2 linked regions of the Cricetulus griseus genome follow. The protein of the gene in region 1 binds, or shares a complex with, the protein of each later gene. Links are inferred from orthologs where the notes say so. Each region holds a gene or a part of one and is shown on either strand. Other genes may lie near its edges.

What was found.
Region 2: the proteins of Il1a (region 1) and S100a13 are in contact, whole or in part, in an NMR structure (PDB 2L5X), measured with the Homo sapiens proteins. The link is inferred for Cricetulus griseus from reciprocal best matches to the Homo sapiens genes IL1A and S100A13. Residues at the interface, in NP_000566.3 of Homo sapiens: Asn148, Gln150, Tyr151, Thr194, Ala195, Gln196, Asp197, Leu203, Leu204, Lys205, Glu206, Met207, Gly216, Ser217, Glu218, Thr219, Asn220, His239; in NP_001019381.1 of Homo sapiens: Met1, Arg25, Gln26, Glu27, Gly28, Arg29, Lys30, Asp31, Ser34, Asp68, Ser69, Glu70, Lys72, Phe73.

The regions. Positions count from the first base shown.
Region 1 is NC_048599.1:49,261,248-49,265,494, reverse strand, and holds the start of Il1a (interleukin-1 alpha), read right to left. Parts: upstream 2,845-4,247; coding exon 2,798-2,844; intron 1,711-2,797; coding exon 1,662-1,710; intron 506-1,661; coding exon 277-505; intron 1-276. UniProt on the Homo sapiens protein: Cytokine constitutively present intracellularly in nearly all resting non-hematopoietic cells that plays an important role in inflammation and bridges the innate and adaptive immune systems.
Region 2 is NW_023276806.1:64,027,984-64,031,669, forward strand, and holds the end of S100a13 (protein S100-A13), read right to left. Parts: intron 819-3,686; coding exon 675-818; 3' UTR 580-674; downstream 1-579. UniProt on the Homo sapiens protein: Plays a role in the export of proteins that lack a signal peptide and are secreted by an alternative pathway. Binds two calcium ions per subunit. Binds one copper ion. Binding of one copper ion does not interfere with calcium binding.

The sequences.
Region 1 (4,247 bases):
CATGGGCTAATGGACTGTGACTGCTTTCTCTCCAACCAAAGACCTTTGGATGACCTTTATAATACAGCCAAGAAAGGAACCCTTCAACAACTGTTCTAGACTCAGGTTACCATTGATCTCTCCCTTCTGGAGAAGAGCAGCATTTAATCTTTCTTTGTTATAGTTATTGACCTAATGTCCTATTATTTTGGTTCCAAGATTTATTTTCTTTCTACTTCATTATCATCATTTTCTTAAAACTAAAAAATTGGATTTTTGTTATGTTTCATCCCTTACCTTCTAAATTGCGGGTTATGGTCTCCAGGTCATCTTCAGCAAAGGCCTGATTGAAGCCCAGCCGTCTCTTCTTCAGAATCTTCCCTGAGTCTGATGATGCTGCCACCATCACTAGGCTCTCCTCAAAGGTGAAGTTGGACACCTTTGAGGTTTCAGAGGTTCTCAGAGATACAAATTTATCTGTGCAATTCTCATGAAGTGAGCCACAGCTTGCATCGTAGAAGGATTTCTGTAAGGAAGGGAAGTGGCACCTGAGCGCTTACCTATGACCTCATGATGAGACTCTTTAGTAGGGTCTGTATCCTACAGACTTAGTGAGACGGATCTCCCTTCTGGGTGTAGGGAACCAACCTGTGCTTCATCCCTCCCTCCCCTCTCATCCTCCACTGCCCTTCCTTCCCTTCTGCTCCATTCCATTCTTGGATTTCCCTGAAACCAAGGCTGGGGTTGAGGGGGGGTCTTTTCACCCACCTTTAGGCTCAAAAAGAAAAAATTTTAATTAAACAGATTAACATGTGATCCTGGTGAGTGAGATCCTTCTGTCAAAAGGTTTGACATCTATTCCAGAGTACTCAAAATATTTTAAAAAATACTTTTGGCCCTCTGTGTTGCCTGCTCAAATTAAACTAACCTTAAGGTTCAAAATATTTTTTAAACCTAAATCACATTTGTACTAAAATGTGAATCTTTTTGTAATTACTTCCTAAATAATATAATCACTGATTCATAAGTATAACAATTGTTTCTATAGCATTCACAGTGTGGCAGGTGTAGTTTTAAGACATCTAGATATGATTTAAAGTTATTTCAGAATACATGTATATTTTATATAAATAGAAGGTCACTTAATATAAAGGACTTGAACATCTGCAGGAGGTGATCTCCCTAGGGGGCCTTGCAGTCAAGGACCCATGGATACCGTTGGTGTGTCTATTTTTCTGGAAGCAGCTTTTAAAACAGGTATCACAGATACACAAAATAACATGCTGAGTGTGTGTGACGTTTTCCCTTTCTCTTAGCCAGCTTCCTCTCCCTCAGTTCTGTGGGCTATCAGAGAATGATGTCAACATAGCATGTTAGGAGAGGTGTCCAGGTGAGGTGGATTGAAGCAACTGGCTAAAGATGCCAAAACTAACAATTTGAAGGAGCCTGGCCCAGAAGTTCTTAGGGCTTCAGATAACCCTTCTTCTCTGTTATGGAAGAGTCAATGAGCATGAAGAATGCCAGTTAACTATTAGTATAGAGAGGCAAGTGATCTCACTAATAATAAATAAATGTATTTTAGACCTTTAACAAAAGTGTATAATACTCAACCTTCATTTTGCATTTCTGGTAGTATGTAAAAAGAAAATCCAAATCTATAAGAATGATAACCATATGCTTACCTGACTCAGAGAGAGATGATCAAGGGCAGAACTGTATTCTTCATTTTCACTGTCAAAAACATATAAGGAGACTGTATTTTTGTTCATCATTCCACTGAGGTCCGTAGGCATCATATCTTAATGACCACATTAGCTTTTGGTAATACAGACAACATTCCTGAATACTGATTTAGACATAGGTACTATTGAGTCTGAATGCTCTAACACAGCACTGGGTTTTAGTGGCTGTTTAAGAGTTACTTCTTTCTTTGGAGAACTCGATCCCAGTCAGGATGAGAGTCAGCCTTACAGTAACTTGGGCACACGAACACACACACACACACACACACACACACACACACACACACACACACACACACTACTCTTTGAAAAGCTAAAGACTTCTGCATATTCATGTCTACACACATAGTAACTCATTTGTCTACTAATTTGGAGTTAGTAATTATTAGAACAGCTTTGCACTTTATCTGTAAAAATTAGGCATGATTAATAAATCAAAGAGCCTTATTGGACTTCAGGAAAGGCTGAAGCTGCTAAAAGAAAAGAGAAACTTTTGAAGTACTTCAGATACACTTTGTCATACATTGTTTTCACATACTAAAACAGATTCTATATTTAACAGTATTCAAGCACTAGTTTGTAGCTTCATTAGCATTAACATTAATTGCAAACAAAAACATCTTGTTAGTTAAGAATGTTCTAGAATTTCAGCTCTGCTCATTTATCTTCTGTATCAGGGTGAAGTTTCACTGTGGGTATGAGTTCATGTGCCCAAGAGCTGTTTCCTCCTCTTGACTGGGAGCAGGTTCTCCCAAGAATGAATTTTCTCTCAAACAGTTCATTAATAGCTGCTGCTGTATAGAGCATACAAACTCTATCAAGTGCCTAAGTTGATGTTAATTTAAGATTATGTAGGAGTCAGTACACCTCAAAAATATTTTTCTAAATTCCCATTTCACTCAGGGAAATACCACTTTAGCATGTTGGAGGTCTTATCCTTCTAGCTCTTCTCTGGTCTTGACTGGACTTCAGAGCCAGTGTATATCTACAGAGCCTCTGACAACATGGCACTTGACTGGCCACTTGAACACCTAGTTGGAGTCATTGAATCACAAAAAGTAGAATGTGTTTCTTACCTGTAACAGTTCTTCAGGTCTTCAAACAAGTCCGGAACTTTGGCCATCTTGACCTCTACAAAAGAACAGTGGTGGTCAGCTCTCCACCTCTGAACCCCGTGCTTGCAAGGGCAGTGACCCTGCTTCGCTCTTCTTGAGAAACTACAATGAGTGGCTGACTTATCACATGCCCAGAATTTCCTCTATTCTTCTTCATACGCCCTTACATTATTTGTATAAGCTTTGTTCTCCTCTCTTAACTTGTACATTTGTTTTAGAATGTTTTCTCTATCTTGGTATTCTTTGTGTCCAGCCCATTCCATCACACATAGTAGGCATTCAATAAAGGTGAATAGGATAAGGAAAAAAAAAAAAAGGAAAACCACCTGCATGAGGTATCTGCCTTCTATAGAGGCGAGGGAGATAGAGAACGGGAACCAGCATATCTCATTTTTGTCAGTAGAAATTTCCTATCTACAGGAAAAGATTAGGCTGAACTGATGGATTCCCTCCCAGGAATCCTGTTCAGCTGCCCCCTCAGGTCCTTATCACTAGAAAGAGAGCTCTTCTCTGAAATCTGTGATTCCAGCTTACACACCAAATCAGGAACAACAAGAGAAAGAAAGAGAACAGACTATAGCCTTACAGAAGGTGCCTTGAGAGAAGACAGTCAAGGAGCAAACAAAAGACAATCTCCATAGCCTCAGATGTGATAAGGACAATACCTTTGCCGACTCAAGCTCCAATGAGGTGACTCCCTCTCTGCCCTGGAGACTTATGCCTGAGTCAGGCTTCTCTGTCTTTTATAATCATCTCAAGTAGGTGGGGCCCCCGCCAGTGTGTCACTGGGAATTTACAGGAAATAATTCTGCTTTGTATCTTTCTATGTTCACGCAGCTTGATACTGGCCGAAATGCAGCTCATACACTTGGTAATGATGTTGTTTGCAAAGATTCCTTGGGCTGTTGACTTGATTCATCTATTTATTGCTTGTTTCATATGATTATAAACATGTAGTCTTACAAAAAAGGGGAAGAGCAGCAGGAAGTTTACCAAGACACCCAGAGCATTTGGTGGAAGAGGAAGGCAGAAATGCTCAAATCAGAGGGCTGGACTGAGTAGGATGGGCGCTCCGGGGGTATACTTTGTGTTTGGCCTAATTTGTTTATTGTGCTCCAGGACTGAATCTGGGCAGGATAATTGGCAGCTAAGTCATGGCATTTGAGGGAAAATGAGGTTTACCCCTCCCCTCTGAAGAGAAAGGTTTGCTTGAGTAAGTCAGCAGTCTGAGTATGGAATGGCAGCCTTATGGTTAGAGGGCAGAGGTGATAAAAGTGACATTGACCATAAAGATCTGGGCCCTCTCACTCCTTTGAATAATGTCAACACATTTCCCACAGAGATGACAGCTTCAAGGGAGAACTCCCAGCCTCAGTCACGTCATGGTAAAGTGACCCTGCTCCATTACATA
Region 2 (3,686 bases), on another chromosome or scaffold:
AAAAATAAACAAATTATTAAAACAGTAACAGCACAACACAAAAAGAAAGAAAAAAGCTAAAAGAGGGCTGGGGGTGTGACTCCTTCCAATTGCCTAACATGTGCAAGATCTTAGGTTAATCTTCAACACTGCAAAAACTAATTGAATGAATTAACCTTAACTGCTGTGACAGTTAATTAGAGGTATATGAGTAAAATGTTTAGCAGGCGTTCATTATTATCATTACCAGCCAAAGAACAAACTCCAGGAGTTATATGGGGGAAACTGGGAGCTAGAGCCATGGAGCTGAGCCCCAGGAACGGCCTGCCTCAAATATCCGTATTTTTCACTGATCAACTAAGCACCTACTTAACGCAAGACCTATTGCTATGACACATTTGCTCAAGGGCCTGAGTTCTGTCCTCAACACCAGAGGGACAAAAAAAAAAAAAACCTCATTGTAGGTAGAATGCTAGATGTTGTAGGATATTTGAAGATGAATCACAGTCCTTGCCTTCAAAGTGCCTACAATTTTCATTTTTTTCACCGCAGATAAAGACCCTTTCCCTGGTCTCAAGAAAAGAAATTCAGATAGAAATCTGTGTTTCAAGAAGGAAGTTTTTATTTGGGGGAGTGGAGTTCTGCCTGGCCCTGCCCAGCAGGCCGTGCTGGGCCCCCATCCCAGCAAGCAGGCTTTACTTCTTCCGGATTTCCAAGGCTTTCTCCTTCCTGATTTCCTTCGCCAGTTCCCCAATCAGTCTCCAGTACTCATTGAACTTCAGCTCCGAGTCCTGGTTCACATCCAAGCTCTTCATCTTCTCGTCAAGAGAGCCCACGTCCTACAAAGACATAAAAGGGTTAGAAACTAGGGCTCTTGAGGCAGAGAGAGTGGGAAGAACCATCAGGTGCTTCTCTCAGACATCGATGCCTGCCCAAGGATGAGGCTGTAGACCCAGGACTGCACTGCCTGAGGTCCCACATCCAAGGGACACCAGCAGACCCTGTGGCTGAGCATAAGCTGTCTTCTTCCTTGCATTACTGCCAATACTGCTCATTTGCATCATCCTAACATCTCAACTTAGTCACCACCGAGTAGGTCAGAGGAATAGCAAAAACACTGAGGGTGTTTTCTAGGGTGCTCTTGACAAAGTATCTCATGGCTATAAAACCAATGGATTCTGTAAGCCCTGATGAAAGGATTTGTTGCCAGATAAACAATTTCAACCATAAGTGTCATTGTTGAATCACTGGTGGGTGTCAGATTGAAGAATGTCTCACATGGAGCTTGATTCTCAACATTGAGGGGTTTCTTGGGAGGGGGTTAGATTCATTCATTTTATTTTATGTGTATTTTGCCAACATGTGATATGCATATGTATCACATGCATGCCTGGTGCCCACAGAGATCACAAAAAGATCACAAAAAGATCACAAAAGGATCTCTATTGCTGTTAAGAGACACTATGGCTGGGCGTAGGTGGCCCATGCCTTTAATTCCAGCACTTGGGAGGCAGTGGCAGGTGGATCTCTGTGAGTTCGAGACCAGCCTGATCTACAACAGGTATTTCCAGGGCAGCCTCCAAAGCCACAGAGAAACCCTGCCTAGAAAAACCAAAAGGGGGGAGGGGGACACCATGACCTCGGCAATTTCTTATAAAGGAAAACATTTAATTGAGGTGGTGGCTTACAGTTCAGAAGTTTATTCCATTATCATCATGGCAGGAAGCATGGTGGCATACAGACAGACATGGTGCTGGCTATATCATGATCAGAAGGCAACAGGAAGTGGACTGTCTCCCTGGGCATGACTTGAGCATATATGAACCCTCAAAGCCTGCCTCTGCAGTGAAACACTTCCTCCAACAAGACCATTCCTACTCTAACAAGGCCACACCTCCTAATAGTGCCATTCTGTAGGGAGACACCCTAGCCCTGCCCAATAGTCCTGGGACAGGTACCAGGTGGACCCGGGACTCGCCCATAAGGGCGTGGTGAAGGAAAGCCGGGGTGACGTAAGGGAGCTTCTTAAGGAGCTGCACGTGGGGACCTTGGCCCCTTTTGTTCTGGCCGTGCTTGCTGGGTTCTATAACCTAGCTCTGGCCTGTGTTTTGCCCTGGTGTCTTCTTGAATAAAGAGATTCAAATCCTTACACCATTCCCTTTGGGGGCCATTTTCTTTCAAACCAACCAAGGCTACTCTCTGAACAGAAGTTACAGATGGATCTGAGCTGCCATGTGGGTGCTGGGAACTGAGTCTCAGTCCTTTGCAAGTGCAGTTTACCTAACCACTGAGCAATCTCTCCAGCCTCCATGTTTAACATTTGGGTAAACATCTAGACAAAGGCAAAGATCTGCCAAACAAATCTCTAGCACTTGAGAGGCAGAGGCAGGTGGATCTCTCTGAGTTCAAGGCCAGCTTGGTCTGCAGAGAGAGTTCCAGGACAGCCAGGGCTACACAGAGAAGCCCTGTCTCAAAAAACAAAACAGGAGGAAGAGGAGGAGGAGGAAGGAAGGAAGGAAGGAAGGAAGGAAGGAAGGAAGGAAGGAAGAAGAAAAGAAGGAAGGAAGAAAGAAAGAAAATATAAAGAGAAATCCTATTTAATATTTTTTAAGTGAAGTAGCACGTATGCATAAATGTCACAATTAGGCCTCCTCTAAGAAAACTGAATTAAGGAATTGGAAAATAAAAGCCAAATTTCTCCCTCTTCACACTAAGCATAGAAAGTTAATTTGGGTTCTACCTGTTTTTGGTTTGTTTTGAGACAAATTCTCACTGTATAGCCCAAGCTAGCCTTGAATTCTAGCTCTTTATCCCACGTGGGAGTGTACAGGGCTAACAGATTAGAATGCTGTGATTTCAAAGAGTTGGAATGTTGCAGATACAGGGCTAAGATCATTTTGGGCTATTTTTAGCCCCTTAGTCTTTTAGCCACTTAGCACTCACCTTCTGTATCCCATTTAACCTCAGGTAAAACCTTTGGAAAGTATTAACTTGCTGCTAGCTTTCACCAACGTAAAGCTAAGCATGTCATCAGATAGCTTATAGCAGCAGCCTGATCTACAGAGCAAGCTCCAGGACAGGCTCCAAAGCTACAGTGAAGCCCTGCCTCAAAAAACAAAAACAAAAAAATATCTATAGCAGTGACCTCCCAGCTTTGCTTTGCTGTAAAATCTGCCTGGCCTGATAACCTCACAAATATAATCAATAAATGCCTTGAATTAGTACTTTCCTCTGTTCTGGGACTCTAAAAACTTCATGGGGCTGCTGTGGGACAATCTTTGTACACTGTAAATATGTATTATTCTCATGGGTTAATAAAAGAGCTGACTGACCTTATTGCTGGGCAGGACAGCCAGACTAGGAGGACGCTGGGAAGGAGGGCAGAGGCTAAGGAGATGCCATGAGCAAGCAGGAAGGGAAATACATACATGAGGTAAACAAGCCTCAGGACAGCACATAGATTAATGGAAATAGGTTAATTTAAATTGTAATAGTAACAAGTCTAGCTATTGGCCAAACATTTACAATTAATAAGTCTCCGTGTGGTTATTTGGGAACCAGATGGCGGGAAAGAAAAGCCCACCTGCAGCCTGGGAAGACAGCCCAGTTGGCAGAGTGTTGGCCTAGCATGCACAAAGCCCTGGGTTCTGTCCACAGCACCACATAAACCAGGTGTGACAGCACAGGCTGCAATCCTAGCACTCAGG